Lytechinus pictus: one gene and its partners. The protein of the gene in region 1 interacts with the protein of each later gene in a biochemical or structural test. Links are inferred from orthologs where the notes say so. Each region holds a gene or a part of one and is shown on either strand. Other genes may lie near its edges.

Region 1 (7,450 bases):
CTTTGCAATTTCAGAGATTTTGGGGGCGAATCGCCCGTCGCCACCGTGTATTTTTGTTGTTGTTGCTCCAAACATAAAATGAAGATGGTCCTGAAAAGTCACTCACTAGGTGTTGAGCAGTCAATATTGTGATCGGCAATTCGGCATTAATTGTGTAAACTCAGAATAGGTTTTGGGGGCTAGTAAACGCAATCCAAAGTGTGCTTTCAACACCAACTCTGGACTTGAAATCCCCCCCTTTCAAAATTACCCCCTCGTGTGAAGGAACAAAATTGTTGTGCAACATACTGCCAAGGGGGATGTACATGTAAAGGCCACCGAACACGATCCGATTTCGGAACATATCGCATATTGCTAATTTTCTGAAAATGTGAATAGAACATATCATTTTATTTGAGGTTAAAATTAATTGAAAGAATACTAATATAGCCTAACCATTTTGTAAGATTGTAAGCCTTTATTTTAGAGTAAATGCCAAATTAGTTTCAAATCGTAGCCAATCGTACGACTGCTATGACGTCACTACGACTAGATATAAAATTTGCTTTTATTCTAAGAAGGATGTTAGCATAGTCACAGATTTGAACATAGGGATTCGTACGATGATTTCAAACATTACGCAGTAAGATATTCCAAGTCTCAATATAAGCATCAAATTCTACTACGTTTTATTCCAAAATTGAGTCGCAGACCAATCGCAAGGTGTGCGGTGGCCTTAACATAAAAAAATATGTCTGATATTTATAGTTGATAAACTTGTTTCTATGCAGTCAAAGAAACGATCATATATTTTAGCTAGAAAAAGAAGTTGCATGGAATGTTGGACTTGCATACTAAAAATATTGTGCGAGACTATAACAATTTTTTTTTTTTTGGGGGGGGCAATATGGGCATTTTGTCCAGGTTCAGAATACAGGCCTATGGGTAATTCCACCTGAATGTAACAAATTAACAAGTGAAGATCAATGCAGATGTGACCAGTTTTGATTTTTTCAAATGTGAGGAAGGTTTCCGATATAAGAATTGAATATAAACACTTACTTCATCTGGCTGTATGGCTAGTTTGAAAACAAGTAAATCATCAGGATCAGGGAAATCTATCTGACATGTCTTTGGTAGATTCAGCTCCCCAAGATCTGAGCATGACAGAGAAAAAAAAAACAAATAAGAAATATTACACCAACTTCACATTCTGTTTTTAAAACAAGATTATGTTCAAGCTTAATGAAAATAGTGGCCCGAATTTAAAAAGGTAGTTTAATCTAGTCTTGAGGACTCCATGATGATGTCTTTTTAAAATCCTTTGACATATACTTCTTCATCATTGGAGTCTTGAACCCCCGCCCATATATGTATATGAGACCCAGGTAAACAAAGATGGATTTCCCTAGGAAATCCATCTTTTCATAAAAGAATCACGTAAAATATGTTGATTTTATTCATTTCTACACCTTCCTACGCCTAATGCGAAGGAAGGTTTTAAAAAATGGTCCCTAAAAATGTAAAAAAAATGAAGGTTTCTTACCAGACTGATGTCGTGTAGATCCCTCGATCCACATGTACACAATGCAAATACAATAGCGTCGACCCTTGAACCGCTTATGTATGACGTACTTCCGATTAGCGAAGCCATTTTGAAGAACAATTTATAGATAAAAATTATCATTTCACAAATACTACAATTTAACACATGATTTATTTTTAATTAGCAGTATTGTTATTATTTATAATCACGTAATAAATTTTAGTATTTGTGAAATAATAATTTTTATCTATACATTGTTCTTCAAAACGGCATCGCTAGTCGGAAGTACGTCATCACGAAGCGATTCAAGGGTCAGGTCTATTGTCTTTGCTTTGTCGACAAATGGATCGAGGGATCTACGGGAGATCGGGTCTGGTAAGAAACGTCTCATTTTTACCATTTATAGTGAAATAATTTTTATCACTTTATATGCATTAGGCGCCTGAAGGTTCATAGATAAATACAATTCGACAATACAAACCGATCTCACCCTCTAACTGTGATTAATAATTTTGCAGGTAAGAAAGGTTCACCAATTCAATTGTTCTTAAAGTAGACCAAAAGCTTCGGTCTCTGTTATGTTGGTTGTTCAGCTGAACTCCGTTGGCTTCACTCACCAAATACAGAGACCGAAGTTCTAGCGCGATCTGTACAGGGGACTCAATGACCATATGTTTATGTGTATAAAGTTCGGATAAAACAGGGCAGTGAAGTTGCGCGACAGCCGAGGTAAGTCACTGTTTTTGTTCCTTTTAACTTGATTTTCCCCCTTTTTTGGCAATTAATGCCAAGAGGGAATATTAATTTGCATTTCGGTAGCGTTAATTTTCAAAAAATTGATTCATTAAAGACAAAAATTGAAGAGCCCCGACGGGGGGATTTTGCATTGTAAGTCCCCTGATGGTGGCTGCACGATAGCGAGCCGTCTGTGTATGAGGAGAAATTTAAAAAATAAAAAAATGTTAAAAAACTCCTCGAAACAGACGGCTGCCTGCTGTCTATTCTTAAACTTAAAGTTGCTCTTAACTTACATTTTACAAACAGCTTTAAGAAACTCTCACCTGGCCTTGGGCTGGATTTTTATTCTTTTTACTTTTAATTTTAGTTAAATATTTCCTCATTATTTTGAGAAATTTGACAATTTATTATACTTTATACTAGAGTAGACCCCTAATCAATAATAATGAACAGGTTTGTGAAATTCTGAATCATTGATTGACATGGCATTCCAATGTTATATCATATTCATAATCATCAATTTAGATTTACTTTATTTCAATTTCAGAAGGTATTTCTTTTTGACGGTTCAGTATGTCATAAAAACATTCAAGCGAAGACAGAACAGCAAAGCGATGGACATTCAATTCAGCTGATCACGCACTCATTTCATTTCATTCATTCAATTCGACATCACCTTTCTGCAGTCGCAGCTGTGCAGCGGACGCTCTCTTCCCGTCTCCGTCCGACCGATCTGCGGCAGCTTCGGCCTGCTTTTTCAAGGAAAACAATTTAATCATCGTGCATTCCAGTAACACTTTCTCGTTGGCATCAACTCCTTCTTTTAAAAATTCAAGGTCTCTATCTGCTCCAATCTGCTATTCGTGAAAAAACATTGTCCGATTTCGCAGTCATCACCTTAGTTCCGCCTATTGTGTATCATGTATTGTGCAAGCTGCACGGAAGAAAATGTGTGTGCGTTTACAAAGGTCAAAGTTCACTATAAGCACAGTGCGCGCAAATACAACCCGCATCGGGATGACCTTAGATGACCTCAGGGCGGGGTTGCCGAATATTTGGGTTATTCTCTTTTTACCTTTTATAGCTGACTGTGGCAGTCCTATAGCTCTCGATTAGTACGACAATACACCAGACGGTGGACTGCACTGTTTCCAGAAGAAGAAGAAGATTAATCCGACGTCCGAGCTGCATGCATGGCCAATGCATGCAGCGTTTAACATTAATTTTTGTCTGACAATATAATCATGATAATTGTCAGATCTGACAAATTCCTTGATTTTGATTGGCTGAGAACAGGACTTGTCGGATAAAACATCAGACAAGTCCTTTAATGAAACGTATATCACTGCGACTGACTTCTGTTTAGTGGGGTAATGAGCCAGATCCGTTTTTGTCAATTTTGTTAGGATACTTAATTGTTGCCCCCCAGTTAGAAATTACCATACAAAAAAAAACCAAGCCGAATTTTTTAATAGGCCTCTCCGATTTTGAGATTGAGGATGGTGGCTGAGCCGAAGTTGGGGGGGGGGGGGGTGGTGCATGGGGGACCGGGCATAAAACTCATAATCTTATTAATTGTCGCTGCCCCTCCCTTACAAAAAATTCCTGCAGTACTTTAGTGGTACTCTGTTGTACCTGTGTGATACTTCTGTCATACACGACGGTACCTCAGAATTACCACAGGACTTCTGTGGTATCACTCTGTGATAGTTCTGTCATACTTCTGTGGTACAGGAAAATATGAAAATTTCCTGCAATACCTTAATGGTACTCTGTCGTACCTGTGTGATACTTCTGTTGTACAAAACTGTATATAGAATTACAACAGGACTTCTGTGGTATCACTCTGTGATAGTTCTGTCATACTTCTGTGGTACAGGAAAATATGAAAATTTCATGCAATACCTTAATGGTACTCTGTCGTACCTGTGTGATACTGCTGTTGTACAAAACTGTATATAGAATTACAACAGGACTTCTGTGGTATCACTCTGTGATAGTTCTGTCATACTTCTGTGGTACATAAAAATATGAAAATTTCATGCAATACCTTAATGGTACTCTGTCGTACCTGTGTGATACTTCTGTTGTACAAAACTGTATAAGGAATTACTACAGGACTCCTGTGGTATCACTCTGTGATAGTTCTACTTCTGTACGTAAAAATATGAAAATTTCATGCAATACCTTAATGGTACTCTGTCGTACCTGTGTAATACTTCTGTTGTACATAACTGTATACAATATCACTCTGTGATAGTTATGTCGTACTTCTGTTGTACATGAAAATTCTAAAATATCCTGCAGTACTTCTATGACAACCCTGCGATACTTCTGTTGTATATGAACATTTTTTAAATTTCCTGCAGTACTCCTATTACTAAGCACTTCTATGGAAACCCTGTGATACTTCTGTGGTACATGAACATTTTGAAATTTCCTGCAGTACTCGATCCTATTAAAGACACTTCTATGAAAACCCTGTGATACTTCTGTGGTAAATGAAAATTTTGAAATTTCCTGCAGGACTCAATATAGGCACTTCTAAAATTCTATGGCAACCCCAGTGCTATACTTTCAAAATTTCCTGCGGTACTTCTCATGCAGCCACCCCAGAAATATGACTGAAAGTGTATCACAGACGCTATACTGGTGTATTTTCTGTGGTACAGTACATGAAAAAATTAGTTTCCTTCAGTACTTGTATGGAAGCCCTGTTTGTACCACAGACTAATTTTTTTATTTCCAGTGAGGGATTTATCTTTTTTTTCAGTTTCGGGAGAGGTCAGTAGCGTATTGAGTCTTATATTTTTAGAAGGCCATATGGCTTAAAAGGGCACCATTCATTTTAAAAAGTACAATTTTTTATATGAAAATTTAATTTTGTGATAGCTAGATTGTGACATATAGGCCCTATTTCAAAATTATATTTCACCCTGTCCCATTGTGTAGGTCTATATCAGCGAGGGGGGGGGGGGTTATGCCTACTGAGACTCAGAGGTTTTAAGTTTGATAGCTTCTATTTCTACGAGAAAGGGTACTATACGTACTAGATCAAAACTAGGAGCAAAGCGCGAACTGAAAAATGCGAAAAATTATTGACCCCAAAATGGGCAACTTATATTTTGAGGACTATTGTTCGTTTTCAGGGTTATTTCTTTTTCATGCGCTCTTTTAAATTTCAATTATCATTTTTGTTTTGTTTGTTCGCCACTTATTTTTCATAAAAAACAGGATGAATAATAAAAAAATGACTATATTTAAAAGGGTACGTGTTGAAATATACAGGACACACCTAACACTCTTAGAGCTTAATGGTTGTGAGGAAGCCGGGTTGAATTTCAAAGAGATATTGTAATGAATAAAAATATAAGCATGAACGTATTATTCTACTTCATCCATCTCTTTCTAACAATACAAGAAAATAATTGAAGGGGAGGTCAACGCTAGAGATAATCAATAAATAGAGTAAAATTCACAAAACAAAATGCTTAAAATTTATTCAAAATCGGATGACAAATAACGAAGTTAAGTTGAATTTTAAGGATTTGCAATATTCCCATGAAACAGTTTTATTTAGGCATGTCTCATGAATATTCATTAGGTGGGCTGATGATGTCATATCCCATGTTCTTTTGTACAATATATGAAATTAGATTTATTCAACATATTTCTACCAAGAACTTAAACAATTGGAATGACGACTAATTAACCGCATTAGTTATTTAATGCAGCAACTTTACAATGGGGACACATTATTTACACATGTATTGAAAAAATAGATAATCATAATTTCATATCTAACATTAAAAAAGAAAAATGGGAATGTCACATCATCAGCCCACCAAATGAATATTCATGACGATGTGCACACTATCTGTTTTCACAAAATATTGATAAACAATTAACATAAGAAAGTTCAGCGTTGAATGTTGATTAAAAAATAAATCTCAGTTAAAATGCTATCTAAGATTTTGTTTTACACGTTTCATAACCAAGTTTTAATGCGATTCTGGCCCCTTAAAGTTTTTATTGCGAGAAAATACATTTTTCCAAGTTTCCCATCTATTTTTTTATTTTATTTTTTTTGTAAAAAGGACCTATTTTCTTACAAATATATTATTATAAATAAAATTACTTCAATATTTGTTCTCCTATTCACAATATTTTTTACAGGTGGAATAGGATAAACTAAAAATAGGATATTTAATTTCCATTTTAAGGCCCATTTTTTGCTTTATATCCCCGGTTTATATCTTTGCCACCTTGCAATATGTTAGCCAGGCTGGTTTATATCTATTTCTTTTTAAATCAAATAAATTTGGATATTTTCAATCTATTTTTATGATGCGAAGCTATATATAGTTTGTAAATATGTTTTTTAATTGCAAGAACAATCTTGTATCTCTGTTCACATATGATGGCAGTTTATTTTGCTTCTTTTTTTCTAATTTGTATGAAGTTTGTATCTATATATTTTCAAACTATTTTCCATCCTTAAAGTGTCACAACCGATATCATATTATTTTTTACCTCGTTGGCAAAGTTATTATCTTTTCTTATGTTTCGCTTCAAAATGGTATCTTTATATTTGCTTGTCTTGCTCCTCCACCCCTTATCAAAATACCCTGCCGGCACTTGATCTAAGATTATTTTCTTTTACTACTTGAACCTTATAAAGGGATCTTTCCTTCGATCGCAAGAAAGGATAAAATGTGTGTTTTTGAAAAGAAATAAAATTAAAAATACATAGGATTGGAGCTGTGATTTTCCTCATTGCTTTCTTTGTCATCCTACTTGCATACTAGTAGGCCTATATAACATATTTTCAGTAAAATTGTGAGACATGTTTTTAAATCCTATCCATATTAAAAAAAAGAATAAAGAGAAAGAAAAAAATTAAAAGACATAGAAAAGAAAAAGAAAGGAAGAAGAAATAAATATTTGAATTTTACTTTATTCAATTCCTTTACGTTAATAATATGATATATAAATGATGGCGAAAATAGTCAAATTGTCTGGTTGCCAAGTAAAAAGTAAGACCCCCCCCCCCCCCCCCCCTCCGAGCTCCCCGTACAAACGCGCGCACGGACTGTACCGTATACGTGTTTCCGGTTCCGCCATTTGAAAAAAAACGTTCGTAACTGCTCAGCTGAACCCGAAGCTTGATGAAGAAGGCCGTCAATA
Region 2 (7,949 bases), on another chromosome or scaffold:
GACCTGTTGAACAAGTTGAAAAACTCTCATACAAGTAGGAATTTCTACATAATCTCACAACAATGGAATATATATTTTACCATTTGACGGCCAAGTTCTGGACTTCTCCATTCTTATCTTCCAACAACTTCAAGAGCATCCTCACCACCTGGATTTTTATGAGAAAAATTTGAAACAAATTATGAACTCAAACCTAGGGGAAAGGGGTTACAATATTCATAATGGGCAAATACACACGTCAATAACCAATCTTCATGCATCAGGCCTAACTTGTGTGTATGCTTTATGTTGATTAAAGAATAAGTAAGTACTGATAATCGTAAATTGAAAATAAAAACAATTGCACTAGGATTTCAAAAATCTACTGAAATTTGAAATCCACAATCTCTTTATGAACGCCTATCCCAGCTTGCTCCATGGGTAACAACACAAATAATAGTACTTAATGTTTATTGTGCCATGATGCCCATTGATAGCAATAAAGTATACCAATATCTTACATATCACAAAAATCATGTAAATTTCTTAACAAAATGGAAGTGTCAAATATAAATTAGGGATGTACAATAGGTGGTGCAAAACCTTAAATCACTTTCCATGAGAGCTTTTCATTGGAGCTAATATCTATCATGCATGTATACTTGAGTTTTATTTCCTATTATTGTAAATTCCCAAAGGGATTGCAGCCACCAACCATGGACATTTATGTGGTAGTTTACAGTACATTCAATTTCTTGGCCTTAGCTATGAACGTAATTTTGTTATCAATTCTCAACTGTCTTGGGGGGGGGGTGGGGGTAGAAACGTTCAACAAAAATTCTACCTCAAGCAAACATCATCCAAAAAATCATTAGTTTCAATGCAGGTTTTATTTTGATTTAGTTTTTCAAAAAAAATGATCACAATAATTCATTCTTACACAATTTACCGGTATCTTTTCTATTAAACACATAGGGGCTAAACCTATCAGGCCTATTGTGACACTTTGGCTGGCAGATCACCCTAAAACACTGTGTAAGTTTTTCCCTGTTGTAAATCATGCTGGGAAAATTACAGTACTTACCTTTTTCTCACTGTCATCATCAAGCTTGATGGAGTCTTTCTGAAGCTCAGTCATCAGATCATTAGTTGCCATAAACCGAAAATCCTTATCACTGGACGTCATCTGTATAGAAAATTAATATAATAATTTGTTGGGTTTTTTTTCAAATCCAAATATAACTATTAATTACCGGTACTAGATTGTGTGATGTGCAATAAAACATACCAAGACAGAAAATGATTCTTAAAAAGGGGGCTTTAGAAAAAAAAGGATAAACTGGGGAGAGAGTTATCAAGTTTTTTTAGCTGCATGAGGGACTATCCCATCAAGTAAATGAATCATGATCCTGCCATTCCCAAAAGCTACAACTGAAAGCCATCCCAGCAAATCACGTGGTCTACATGTATGTACATGTACCCAATAAAAAAATAACATACTTGGAAAAGGATTTGTAATGTAAATGGGAAAGATTGCAAAATATGAAAACATTACAATATTGAGACTTAATTAAATCAGGGCTGAAAACTTTGTCTCCTCAGAAAATAAAAATTCATCTACAGGTCAATTATATTCCTGACTTTTTAACCATTATTTTGTTTGAAGGCAAGTCCATCCAAATGACAAATAGTTTTCACTCAAACAAGCATAACAATGAAAATTTCATCAAAATCAGGTGTACATCAAAATGTTTTAATAGCACTTTTAACTTTTGCCTAGACTTCTACATCGCAAAACAATGTAGCTAACACAAGCACTATGCTAATGAGGGACCAACTCATATCACACTTATAATTTATTTCTTTCATGATATCAAATGGGATTTTAAACCTGTAATGGAAAAACAGGATTTGACTAAACTTTGAACATACATGTATGAAATTACCATTATTTCAACTTATTATGAATCAATCAAGAACCTCTTTACTGTATTTAAAAATTATATCTGACGAACCAGAAAGAAAATCTGGCAATGTTTACACCACCATTTTGGCTTTTGTTAAGGAAAGCTGTTGCGCATTACCAATGAGCCGATCATGAAGCAGGACAATCACAATACTGCATGGCTTCAATTGTCTAGCTGGCTTGCCAATCGGCCCTATGATTGCGCAACTTAACTTCATTCCATGACAAAATGTTGTGATGATTGGATAAGTGCTGGCTTGTGAAAACAAGATTGAATGTTAAATCTTGGCACATGTCAAATAAAGGGTGCATTAACATTTTAAATTATACCCTATCATGCAAACCCATCATTGATCTGGTCTGGAAGTACGTGACGTTCTTACTTTTAAAAATGCAATATATCAGGGGAAAAATTGAATATTTGAGAGAATTTGTGGATACTTTTATCTCATACGCATATTTGGGTAGACTATAAGTATAATTTTTTTTGGCAAAGTTGAAGTTTGAACACTGCTGATTAAATATTACCGATGGCGAACTAACGAGTTTGCATTTTACCTTTTTTGCATTGCCATTGCATGGATAGACTGGAACCCGGTTATTTTTTTCCTTCTTCTTCTTACATTATAGTATGTCCCTCTTGTAGAGTATTTCCATACTTGTCACAATTATAACTTTCTCTCTTTTTCAATTTTTATTTTTAAAAAATTCTTCAACGTGACAACAGATCATGGTCAATAAATGAATAACGGACAGATAGAATCATGAAATTGATGCAAGACTCTATAGTATAGTATAAATGGAAACTTTATTTTTTGTTGCTCTGTTTGTTTGAAATATTTGGAACCTTATACCAACGGTAACCCGATTATTCTTGGCCGCGCACACATTCACAAGAATCCCGAGGCTGAACTCCACCGACGCGACGCCGACAATAATTTGGCGGCGGAGCCGTGTTCCCTTACTAACTGCGCTGAGTTACATACGCCGTACGCAACGTGTGGGACTGAAATTGGGCAGTACCCGGCAAATTACGCTGCTCTGAACAATACACAAAATTTGTATCCATTACCTTCTCCAAGAGATTGGAGATGATGTAAGAGAAGCTTGCCATGGTTTCCTGATTTTCCTTAACCCAGATTGATGATGAACGTCTCAAAAGGTTATAGGTAAAGCAGAATAGTCCTAATAGAAGATGATCTGAGTTCACAAGATCAACATGGCACTGTCAACTCTTACGCGCATGCGCGAGAACGATCGAGCTGAACTTATTTTCGATTTCATTATCAGCAGAAGATGAAGATACATTATTTCCAAAATTATTATATTCTTTTATTTTTTTACTCCTCGATAAGTAAGTCCCACATGGCCCTACCCCTGTAACCCCGCTGAAGCACCCCAAGATTTTTCCGGGGGTGCTGCGTGTATTATTCTCCATAGGCAGCACCCCTGGAGGTCTGGTAGGTGTGAAAAAATTGATAAAAATGACCTTCATTTTATAGAGAACCCCTCTCCGTTGTGGGGGAGGGGGGCCTTGTGAAATTTCTCGGGACCAAAATGATCTTTAATTTTTAGTGAATCAAAAGCTGGTATCTTGCCTCTAATAATTCGAGATTCTTCATCGGTTACAGAGAATAATATTAATTTGTGTTTCAATCATCTATAAAAGTATAGCTTCATAACTATGAGCAATAGGCCTACTCGCTCGTTGAATTTTTTTTTCAGGGGGCTGTCAAAATATTAAGTCTATAAAAATTCAATACTTTCTAAGTTTCTCTGCAAGAAAAATAGACAAGCAAGGGGTCGCTCCAAAATTTTCATTTTTATCTCTATTCACATTTTGGGTGAAAACGTGAAATAAAGTTGAAGAAAGAAAAGGAACTGAGAAACAGAAAGAGAAAAGGACGAGAAACCAAAGGAGAGAAGGGAAATGAAACTAAGAAGAAGAACAGAAAAATAGAAGAAAACAAGAAAATGAAGGAGGAAGAATAAAAAAAAAAACATCAAAGGATAACGAAGGAAAAATGTCATTATCATTATTTTAGCGATTATCGATATCATAATTAAAACCATTGTACTTATCATCATTGATGCTATTGCTTATTTTTCATTATTGTGTTGTTTTTATTAATCCATCATCTAAGCAGAATAGTCACCATCAACATTAATACAACTTTTTTTTTATTAATTCCCTTTAACAATATTTTTGCCCTCAACTTTAGCTGTCCGGCTCTTAAAAACTGTATGCGTGAACAAATAAACTGTGTTATATGGCTTTCCACAATAATTATTGTAGGCCTATAATTTTACACTCTAAATTCCAAGGATTTAAAATAAATCCAGATCGGCTGTGAATAGTGACCAGCCAAATCTTTTTAAAATTCATTTGAATCTTAAGGATTAACTATTAAATCTCAAAAGATTTAGATTTAAATCTTTTAGATTTATATCTAAATCAACAAGGTTTAAATCTAAATCTAATATTCAGCTGGTCACTATTCACAGCCGATCTGGATTTATTTTAAATCCTTGGAATTTAGAGTGTATTATTTCTTACCTATATATACAACAGTCCTTTGCTCCTTGTGAAAAACTTGTTTCAATAATTTGATAGCAGCTTAATGCATTTCATAAAACGATTTTGTGTAAAATCTTGCCAAATTATTGAATTTCATAATCTTTCATATATTAGCAACAGGTCGCAAGGGCGTATAGGCTGGGGGTGCACTGAGTGCACCGTGCACTCTCCCGCTGAGACAGAGGAGTTCCGACACTGGCAAGCAAAATGAAATTTGGACCCCTTCTTCTGCTTTCAACAGCGGATTAGTTCCACCTCCCCAAGATGTTCACCTCCCGATGCTCAAACCAGGCTGTAGTATGTCCTTTGTGTTATTTTGTTTGATTACTGTATATGTTATGCTTCTTTTCATATGTGTTTATTTTTTTATTGTATATGGACCCCATGGAAGAACTGTATTGTCATGTTGACAAAACTGAATATGGGCTATACGTCAGTTTTGTATATATATATATATATATATATATATATATATATATATATATATATATATATATATTGTGTGAAAGAAATGGATGAAGAGAACAATGGTAGGCGTAGCTTAAATCAAGGTTCCCCAGAGCTCCTGGCTTAAAGCCGGGAAAACATTGCTATGTATAAAACATTGCTCTGGGGAACCTTGATTTAAGCTACGCCTACCATTGTTCTCTTCATCCATTTCTTTCACACAATATTTAAATAAAAGAGTTGCCAAAGCTGTAGTACATGTATAACTTCACACACATATATATATATATATATATATATATATATATATATATATACACGTTTATACGGAGAATAGCTTTACATGTACACTATAAACTTTACCATCATTATCACAATGGGCATAATTCTTTACATCTGAATTCCCCCTTAATTTGTCTAGGCAATCGCTCGCCAAACTTTACAATATTATTAACAACGTCTATTGGCGTGCAAATGCTACACTTTCAAACAGTGTCGTAATGAGCCCAAAGGCATTGAGGGGCTAGATATGGCGTATTGGGCAAAATTTATTTTTAATATTTTCAATTTAATAATAAATATCAAGTTTTGTGATATATTTTTACATAATTTTCAGAAAGTAATATCATATTTCACTCTTCTCTCTTTCCTTTTTTTTTCTTGGTCGTGATTTTTTTTTGGGGGGACAAGCATCCCAAGGGCCCCCATCTGTACGCCACTGCTGTCAAAACAAAATAATTAGGTGTATATGAGATTGCTACGCGCGTTCCGTATACCCAATGGTGATAACACAAAGCGGTCATTGACCTTTTCCTGTCTGGTGAGTGGTCATCTAATCCCTTCCGGTCGGATTTGAACTTCGACCACTAATTATTTATTCATGATGTCATGAGAGAAGACTTCCTTGAAATGACCCCCTGATGAGGAAGAGGCTTGAGAACACATTCCTAGAAAGCAAGGGGGATTCGAGAATCACCGTCATATTATTATGTTTTACTCTTTGATTTAAGATAAGAACCATTTACCACGCTGTGTACGTACGACTTGAAACCAAGAAAAGTCACAGCATCAATGACTGTTTTTCGAGCATTAAAAAAATTAATAGAAAAGTAGAGGCGGTAGCTACTTTTTACGAAAACATTTATGATTGTAGTATAATAGTAGTAGGCACTACTTGTATTAGTAGTAGTAGTAGCAGTAGTAGTAGTAGTAGTAGTAGTAGTAGTAGTAGTAGTAGTAGTAGTAGTAGTAGAAGTAGTAGTAGTAGTAGTAGTAGTAACAGTAGTAGTAGTAGTAGTAGTAGTAGTAGTAGTAGTAGAAGCAGCAGCAGCAGCAGCAGCAGCAGCAGCAGCAGTAGTAGTAGTAGTAGTAGGAGTAGTAGTAGTAGTAGTAGTAGTAGTAGTAGTAGTAGTAGTAGTAGTAGTAGTAGTAGTAGAAGCAGCAGCAATAGCAGCAGCAGCAGCAGCAGCAGCAGCAGCAGCAGTAGTAGTAGTAGTAGTAGTAGTAGTAGTAGTAGTAGTAGTAGTAGTAGTAGCAGTAGTAGCAGTAGTAGCAGTATAGTAGCAGTAGTCGCAGTAGTCGCAGTAGTAGTAGTAGTAGTAGAAGTAGCAGTAGCAGTAGTAGTAGTAGTAGTAGTAGTAGTAGTAGTAGTAGTAGTAGTAGTAGTAGTAGTAGTAGTAGGAGTAGGAGTAGTAGTAGTAGTAGTAGTAGTAGTAGTAGTAGTAGTAGTAGTAGTAGTAGTAGTAGTAGTAGTAGTAGTAGTAGTAGTAGTAGTAGTAGTATAGTAGCAATAGTAGTAATAGTAGTAGTAGTAGTAGAAGCAGCAGCAATAGCAGCAGCAGCAGCAGCAGCAGCAGCAGCAGTAGTAGTAGTAGTAGTAGTAGTAGTAGTAGTAGTAGTAGTAGTAGTAGTAGTAGTAGTAGTAGTAGTAGTAGTAGTATATAGTAGGCCTAATCATCTTGAAGTATATTGGAAATATAATAAAGGGAAGAGTAAGAAGAAGACTTGAAGAAAAACTTCCCGCTACTAATAATGCATGAATTTTCAGAAATGAAGGAAGCAGTTAATAGCTTAAAGGAGCAGAAGAAAGAGAGGAGGAGGCCCGGGAGGAGGAGGATAGAGAAAGCTGAACACGTATATTAATTAGCAGATCAAGGAATTTATATATCGTCTTCTGTTTGTCCATGAAATAAGCATCAAAACCCCTTGGCATATGGTAGTTCCAAAATAAACAATCATCTTCTATGCCAATTCTATAACTCAATTCTTTTTATCCGTTTGTCAACTAATGTTACTTTCAAGTCGCGTGCCTCCCTCTTGACCAATCAGCGTTCAAGTCGCCATTGTCTGGTCGCCCCACGAGATCAGACAGGGAGGCCTCATTAACAAGTCCCCGAAGAGTGGTGCCTTACTTATGACGTAATATAAAGAGAGTCAACCAAGCGAAACGTCAATGTGTATGATAGCATGCGATGCTCAATCCAGGCAAAGTTTAACTAACTTCTTCACTATTGTGTTCAGTCTTTTCATGTAAAAGACGTTTCGCAGGTTGGATTTTGACAGTTCCTGCAAATTTGACGGTTCATCATCGTCTCACGCCCAAATGAGATGATCGCACACACATCACGCCAGGGGAATTTCAGGAAAAGTGTTAACATTTAAGAGAGGTATTTCATCAGCGTTCACGCCTTGTCACTTCTTTGTTTATTCATGACTGCTAACCGAATTTTCGCACTCCAACTTTGTCCTAAAGGGATTGAATTTTATCACGTTTGCGCCTTTTGATTTGGCGCGATTTCTTTTTTTCGAGATTTTTTTGGGCTTCAGAAGATTATGATGGGAGATGAATTTCAGCATGCGGCTGCAGCAACAGACACGACTAACTTTCTAAAGACAGAACCAGAAGAAAATATTTGCGTTTCTGAAGATGAGAATCTTAATGGTGAATCAACAGATAATATCGTCGATAAATCAGCAGAT
Region 3 (7,635 bases), on another chromosome or scaffold:
TGCTGCTATGTCAGAAATTCCCTAGTCAAAGTACAACAATGTAAAACAATTGGTCTGGGCACTCACAACTATTACATGATTAGACTTCAACCTCTGATCAGATTGATTACAATGATCCTCCTGATTGAATAATCCTCCAAGAGACCCTCCTTTGGTGAAATCAAACTTGCTCATGAATATGCAAATTAGCTAATGAATATTAATTGCAGTGCACATTCCGATCCCACAAAATCAACTTCTGTAGCTGAAACAATCGGGGTTTTTTGCCATTGGGTTTTGTAACATTTGCAAATGGAACAAAATTATCCCTATAAAACACCTACATCTTAAAACCCTACAGTTGACTTTCCATAAATTCATTTTAGAATTTGAATTGAAATATCACCATCAAATTAAATAACCAACCACTACCAAAAATCTAAATAGATTTTTTTAGACTTACTGGACACCCTTCCAGTCATAGAGATAAATCTGATTTGTTTTCTTTCAACACTCTCCAGCAGGACCTACTATTGAAGTCAATACCAATGTCCAATATGAATATAATGTAAAATTAAATAGATTCTTGACTGTCTATTATTTACTATTATCATATATTATTTTGTTTGGCGCCGCCACCTGTGCCAAGAAGGCAAAAATCAAACTGAATCACTATGACCATCGGATCTCTCTCCCGATATAACTGATAGCGGTTGTGCAGGTGGACCATTACACCAGTACTACATGTAGTCTTATAGTAGAGTGCAGTGGGTTCTTAACTAGCTGGTGACTCTCCTCTCCATGGGCCTTCATTAACATCCTATCCAAAGGACAGACATGTATGTACATGTAACTGTAAGCTGAATGTATCTCTTGAAACTAGTAGTCATATGAGGGATGGATCTTCATAGAGGATGAAGTCTAATCATATGATAGTTGTGAACAGTAACAACTTTTTTTTAACTTAACTCCTTAAATATATATATAACTTTAATCAATCTTTACTTCATAACATATTTTGACACCATAACAAACAAAATAAAACTCAGTATTTGCTTTTGCTTACACATTTTGGAGCTGTATGTATCTCTTGGAATCAGCCGTCATATCAGGGATAGATCCTCGTAGGGGGAGTGCTCCATTTCCTTCATTCTCAGTGAACTGTTTGACTGCCTGGGCTAAGATCCAGTAATTTGAACTCTACAAAAACAATGAAGAAAAAATAACTTCAATCTCAAATTGGAAGTTTAGGCTGTTTGGGAAATCTTCAACACTGTTCTACAGAATCCTATGTAAAAACCTGCTAAGATTTTGTGTAGCTTTTTATATAAAATAAAACTAACTTTGCAAAAGAGGTTTCAATTGTACCATGGACTATGCAGATTTCTTGTATTATTGCACATCATACAACAAAAAATGAAGCCCTCTTTGCAAAAAGGACAAATTTGGTTGGAGTCTTCTTTCACAGTGAAATAGGCGTTATGATATGCACAAAACATACATAGTCCATGAATTTGTACCATGGTACAAGTGAAACTACCTTTGTGAATACAGGCCATTATGCTTGGGAAACATTTAAATATTTGTACACCACAGTAATAGCTGAGTAACTAATTTGTGGTTTGACATCAAGAGACCTCATGCATATGACATGATAACCTTATAGCGCCCTCCTTTTATAGGAATAAAGGTAAACAATGTTGTCAGAGATGCGCCAGCTGGAGATCCCAAATGTTTGAAGGCAATAGCTTCAGCCTCTAATGGCAGCGCGATGACACTCAATGCATGAGGTCTTTGGGAGAATCAAGCAGTCCAACCTACCTCTGAAGTTAGACTAGTACAGGCAGGATCTGTCAGGATGTCCTGGACTTGGCTTGGGATCCTGGTCTTCGTCAGGGAAGCGTTGACAGCCTTGATGGCTTCATCAAAGTTCTCTTCCAGCTCAGGCACGCCATGTTCGTTGACCAGAATCCCTCGCCTGATCATTTCCTTGAAGGCAGATTTCTCTTTGTAGTTCTTGGGTATCTCACCGTCATGCTGTTCAACAAAACAAATATTATTTCACTTTATACTTCTGTTTTAGTATCTTTCTCAAACGAAAGAAGAGAGAGTTTGGGAAACACAACAGAAGGTAAAGGGGGGGAAAGAATGATAAAAATCAATCTGCATAGGCCTATGCTCAGTTTTCAGACAACTGTATTATTCTTACCGAAGCATAAAAATAATCAAATCCAATCATATCTTACCTCTTTTCTCCATTCCTCCAAGTAGTTGTGTAAAAGGATAAGGTAAGGCGTATGCATGTGGTCCTGTAATAATAAAATCAACAAAGGTCATGATTATTGCTACTACAGTTTGAATTTATGATTTTTACATTAGCCACAGCACCAAACCTGAAATGAGACTGTTGTTGGGCATTAAAGACCCTGACTGAACTTAAAAGTGATATTGACAAATTATACCCCTGTTTTACCGGATTTCCTACCCGAGACTGGTTTCCAAAAAGTTGACCTAAATTTTTGACCCCCTATTACACCGGAATCTTAACGAGCCTTTAGGCACCCCAAGACAGCTTTCTGTGCGTTTACACCAACTTACCAAAGCTGTCTGAGATAGGTTTGGCAGGGCACCAAGCACGCGCTGTGTTTGTTGTTTGGATAATCGTTCCACCTGTAGTGCATCAAGCAAACCTTTCTCAGACCAGTCTCGGGCAGATTTGCGTTTACACCGAATCCAAAGCAGTCTCAAAGGAGATCCTGTGTAACAGGGGTCTTAAACACTAATTGAAGCTTATAAACTTACAAAACACAGCAATTATTATAATCTAGGTTTATGCATTTTCACTGCTTGCCAATAGAGTATTTTGCTTAAGAATAGCTCTATCAGGTTTCGAAAATAAGCTTTATATATCGCTTTTCATCAACTGATTTTAAAGGCCTCTGATGTCGTTCTGTATCAGAATTGTCTTGATTCCAGAATTCCAAGAATCTAGACGATTAAATAGTGGCATTAAAATTATTTCTGGCACCTCTAAGCCTTTATGAGGCCATATCATACCTGTTTTGTCATAGAAGCAAGATCAAATGACCCGACAAACTCTTTAAAACTAGAGAATGGACGATCCAGTCTCAGGTCATCATGGGCATTGTCTGGATGAGACTCGATTACTGAAAGACATAAAAAGAGACTTATGATTTTTTTTAAATCCATGTTGGCTTTGTCAGCAATTCTTTTCCACTTTTAATAATAGGTAAAACTTGGTTCAGGGTGGGGCAAGTAAAGACATTTTGTTTGATCTCTGTAAATCTCATATATAACCACAAATGCCCAATCCTCATAGTATCTTTCTCCAAGTATGATACGCAGCATTGTCAATAATAAACAAATTTACATACAGTTGTGCTTCAGAGGATGGTTCAACAACAAAAAATCAAAATCAATTTCAAGTTTGTTGAATCACTAGCAGTGTCACCCATCACTTTAATAGCCTCTTCAATTATTATTTATGTTATTTAGTTTATAACTACTGTTATCCTTTCAGTCATTCACATTGACATTTTTACTCGCTCCCCATGTATTAAAGAAATATCAAATTGCTATTATTGCCTAATCACCAACCACCATAGTCCAGCCTCTCAATGAGTCAGCTAACAAGACTTAAAAGAACTATGGCTCATCCTACCAAGCCTAGTCACTTGAACTGAACATCTCCTTACCCCTTAAACCAGTGCATCTTGATAAGGCAGTAATAATAATAATAATGGTATTTTTAGATACCATTAGACACATTACTAGTCACTTGTCATCATCAAGTTATTCTTTCATAAACATATATGAACAAGTGGAATGCCTCTGGCCGTCTCACCTGCATCACGCGATTCAATATAGCAGCAGTGCTGATTTTGAAAACTACTATAACTCGCACAAGATGTTCAGTGATACTTGGTTACTCTTATTTCCACGTTTTATGAACTAGACCAATACACTTATAGAGATATGATGGCAATTCAACAAATACCCCCAACGTGGCCGAAGTTCTTTGACCTTACATGACCTTTGACCTTGATCATGTGACCTGAAACTCGCACAGGATGTTCAGTGATACTTGATTACTATTATGTCCAAGTTTAATGAACTAGACCAACACACTTTCAAATTTATGGCTGTAATTCAACAAATACCCCAATTTGGCCAAAGTTCATTGACCCTAAATGACCTTTGACCTTGATCATGTGACCTGAAACTTGCACAGGATGTTCAGTAATACTTGATTAACCTTATGTATAAGTTTCATGAACTAGGTCCATATATTTTCTAAGTTATGATGACATTTCAAAAACTTAACCTTAGGTTAAGATTTTGATGTTGATTCCCCCAACATGGTCTAAGTTCATTGACCCTAAATGACCTTTGACCTTGGTCATGTGACATGAAACTCAGGCAGGATGTTCAGTAATACTTGATTAACCTTATGGCCAAGTTTCATGAACTAGGTCCATATACTTTCTAAGTTATGCTGTCATTTCAAAAACTTAACCTCAGGTTAAGATTTGGTGTTGACGCCGCCGCCGCCGCCGCCGCCGTCGCCGTCGCCGCCGCCGCCGCCGTCGGAAAAGCGGCGCCTATAGTCTCACTCTGCTATGCAGGTGAGACAAAAATGGGGCCTCTTGTAAAGAGTTGCGATTGATTTGATCAATCACAACTATAGAAAGCCAGTAATGTCATCTAAAATACATACATGTTTGTTCAAAATATTTTCTAGAAATGATGTATATCCTTACATTCACTGTTTTCTGGACAATTCTGTTTATTCTGTTTGTTTGTGTTTCTGTTTATGGTATCCTCGTAGGAACTCTGCAGGACAGCATTTTTGCTGGTAAACGCCAAGCTTTCAGTATGCTTCTCTTTGTTTTCAAAGGACATTGAGCAAATATCCTACAGAAAAAATTATGACACTGATGGACTGAACAGATCAATTGTAACTCTTTGTACTTCATCTCATTTCATCTTGGCCCGAATTCACAAAGGTCGACTAAAGTTATACCGGGGTTAAATTTAGTCGGGGGTTAACTAATACCGGGGTATAAAGTTAGTCCACCGCGCTATTCACAAACGGTGGACTAACTAATCCATGGACTAACTTTAGCACCCGGTGCTAAATTTAACCCACGGCTGAGTTATACCCCGGTGATAACTTTAGTCCATGGATTAAATCATGGACTGAAGCTAGCATACTATTATAACACTGCACTGAGCATGCTCAGTGTAATAAAGCAGTACTGAGCATGCCCAGTGCCGTATTTGAGAGTTTCGTCTGCTAGGGCCATATGAAATGTCGCCATTGCATCACATGAGTTAGGAAGCAGAACTCAACCCCAAAATCATGTATCAGCAGCATGAACTTGAATTTCTTAGCAATGAGGTGTTGACAACGAACATTGTCATTACTTATCTGTTAATATTTACCAACTTAGGTTCGGACTAACGTTAGCGCTGCCTGCGTGCGAGCTAGCTCGACTGCGCCTGCAGCATCGTACCGTATCGAGAAGTTCAAACTCCGTCAATGTACGGTACCGTGTGGTAGGTGCACTGCAACGTGAAGAAGTTTTAACCTTTTTTAGACAGCTGCAGCAGCCGGCTTTTTCGGGGGGTTTTACACATTTTTTTTCAATTTCTTATTTCTCAATTGGTTAGTGGAGGCAACGGAGTCCAGCGGAACAATGACACAGACCAAAGTTTTTTTTTTTTTTTGCCTTTTTGGTCTAATATGAAGTCCAGATCGATCGCCATCGTATTTACAGTGCAGTTAGACGTGGATCTAGGCCTATAATAGCGTGCCGTAACTGCGTTTTAGGCCTGAGGAAGTTACTTAGATCTACGGAAAAATAAATCTAACGTTACACGCCAATTACATCTAGATCAAGTGCACATTTGTTTGAATTAAATCATAACCAATCTGATTGTATAATCCTACCTACCTTATCGAAGTCCGGTGGAACTTTGCCCGGAGCTAGCTTTGATAGAAAATGGAAATATGGAATTGAATCTTTGTTTGGGTTATGTACTTGGTAAATGGTGGGGCCAGCGTCGCGTGGGGTGAAGCGACATGACCTTGATCTGATCTCGCGTCCACAAGCGTGCCTCTTTTCCTTTCCCTCAGAATTGACTTTCCCATTCGAAGTAATATTTTCAATTCATTTTATTCTTGTCTTTTTATATGGTGTATCTCGATAAATTGATTTAAAAAAAAAAATTAAGCGAGCAAATTTTTTTTTAAATTGACATTAAAATCCTAGTTTGTGTTAGATTTTCACATAATATCAAAAAATATTCTATTTCACCCTCATTTCTTTTATCTTTTTCTTGGTCGTGTTTTTTTTTTTTTTTTTTTTTTTTTTTTTTTTGGGGGGGGGGGGGCAAGAGCCCCAAGGCCCCCCCTCCCTATTCTATACGTCAGTTCTACCAACATCTCTAAAAGGAGCTGAGATACTCATTGGTAGCTCCTCCACACTCACTGGTCACTCTTGCAATCGCATTATTCCCAACCTTAACCTATATACTCCAGTTTGCTTTGGAGGGGGGGGGGGGGTCAAGCTATTCACCATGCTTGCAGTATTTTTTTCCTTAAAGGAAACACAATTTCCTTATCAGAAAAATAAAGACTTATCAATCCTGGATAAGTGTAAAGGGTATTCCACCCAATCATAATAATATATTTGAAATTGGGGAAATATCAGTGGGCTAAATATGGCATATCAGGTAAAATAAAAACTTGCGAGCAAGGAAAAATATTAAAAATTTTAATATCAAATATCCAATTTTGTGATAGATTTGACATAATATTCAGAAAATAATGTGTTTCACCTTTCTTTCTTTTCTTGGTAATATTTTTTATTTTGTGTTTTTTTGGTGGGGGGGGGGACTTTTTTCCATGGTCAGTGGTCCATGGTCCGCCCTCTATACTTTCAAACTGAAGGGACTAAATTTCCTAAAATAAAATAACTTTTAAACAAAGATTTATGCTATAAATATAACACCACAGGCAATTCTCTCAGTGACACATGTAGCTACCTTTACTCCTTTCATTTCTCATTTGCTTCAATCACATGTACATTATTGTGCATCTTAACGTGCCAAATACTTTTCTCTCAATTAAGTTCTATTATAAATAATTTTGCATTATGCCTTACAACAAGTTTCTTGAAGTATATCCTCCTGCACAAGCAAGCAATCACTTGACTTTCTTCATACACAACCTTAACCAACATACCATTACCACCACCCCTGTCTTACACATAACCTTAATCTCTCCTTAGCACAATTTTTATCTGAAAGTAAATAAAATAAGACTTTCTTATATAAATTTATTTTTTGCCTCCTGCAAGAACGATGAACCATGCAGCATATGGACAGAATTGATAAAAGAATTTCATTTTTGTTTTCTCCTGACACAATTACTTGAAAACGATATAAAAGGACAAGTCCACCCCCACAAAGTTGATTTGAATAAAAAGAGAAAAACACAACGAGCGTAACACTTAAAATTTCATCAAAATCTGATGTAAAGATATTAAGTTATGACATTTTTAAAGTTTTGCTTGACTAGAAACTTATATGTACATCCCAGTCGGCATGCAAACTATTTCTTTTAATTCT

Evidence for each region. The genes of interacting proteins can lie anywhere in the genome.
Region 2: the proteins of NEDD8-conjugating enzyme Ubc12-like (region 1) and cullin-associated NEDD8-dissociated protein 1-like form a complex in vitro, tested with the Homo sapiens proteins (2 studies listed by BioGRID). The link is inferred for Lytechinus pictus from reciprocal best matches to the Homo sapiens genes UBE2M and CAND1.
Region 3: of the proteins of NEDD8-conjugating enzyme Ubc12-like (region 1) and NEDD8-activating enzyme E1 regulatory subunit-like, one has a biochemical effect on the other in vitro, tested with the Homo sapiens proteins (4 studies listed by BioGRID, with this or other methods). The link is inferred for Lytechinus pictus from reciprocal best matches to the Homo sapiens genes UBE2M and NAE1.

Annotation. Positions count from the first base shown.
Region 1 is NC_087253.1:11,989,436-11,996,885, reverse strand, and holds the start of NEDD8-conjugating enzyme Ubc12-like, read right to left. Parts: upstream 3,247-7,450; 5' UTR 3,043-3,246; coding exon 2,940-3,042; intron 1,137-2,939; coding exon 1,042-1,136; intron 1-1,041.
Region 2 is NC_087245.1:25,057,846-25,065,794, forward strand, and holds the start of cullin-associated NEDD8-dissociated protein 1-like, read right to left. Parts: upstream 3,205-7,949; 5' UTR 3,060-3,204; coding exon 3,018-3,059; intron 1,166-3,017; coding exon 1,064-1,165; intron 149-1,063; coding exon 81-148; intron 1-80. Other genes in the region: T-box protein 1-like, read left to right, coding at 7,803-7,949. UniProt on the Homo sapiens protein: Key assembly factor of SCF (SKP1-CUL1-F-box protein) E3 ubiquitin ligase complexes that promotes the exchange of the substrate-recognition F-box subunit in SCF complexes, thereby playing a key role in the cellular repertoire of SCF complexes.
Region 3 is NC_087246.1:57,534,509-57,542,143, forward strand, and holds the start of NEDD8-activating enzyme E1 regulatory subunit-like, read right to left. Parts: upstream 3,205-7,635; 5' UTR 3,190-3,204; coding exon 3,037-3,189; intron 2,289-3,036; coding exon 2,226-2,288; intron 2,017-2,225; coding exon 1,801-2,016; intron 1,180-1,800; coding exon 1,046-1,179; intron 1-1,045. UniProt on the Homo sapiens protein: Regulatory subunit of the dimeric UBA3-NAE1 E1 enzyme. E1 activates NEDD8 by first adenylating its C-terminal glycine residue with ATP, thereafter linking this residue to the side chain of the catalytic cysteine, yielding a NEDD8-UBA3 thioester and free AMP.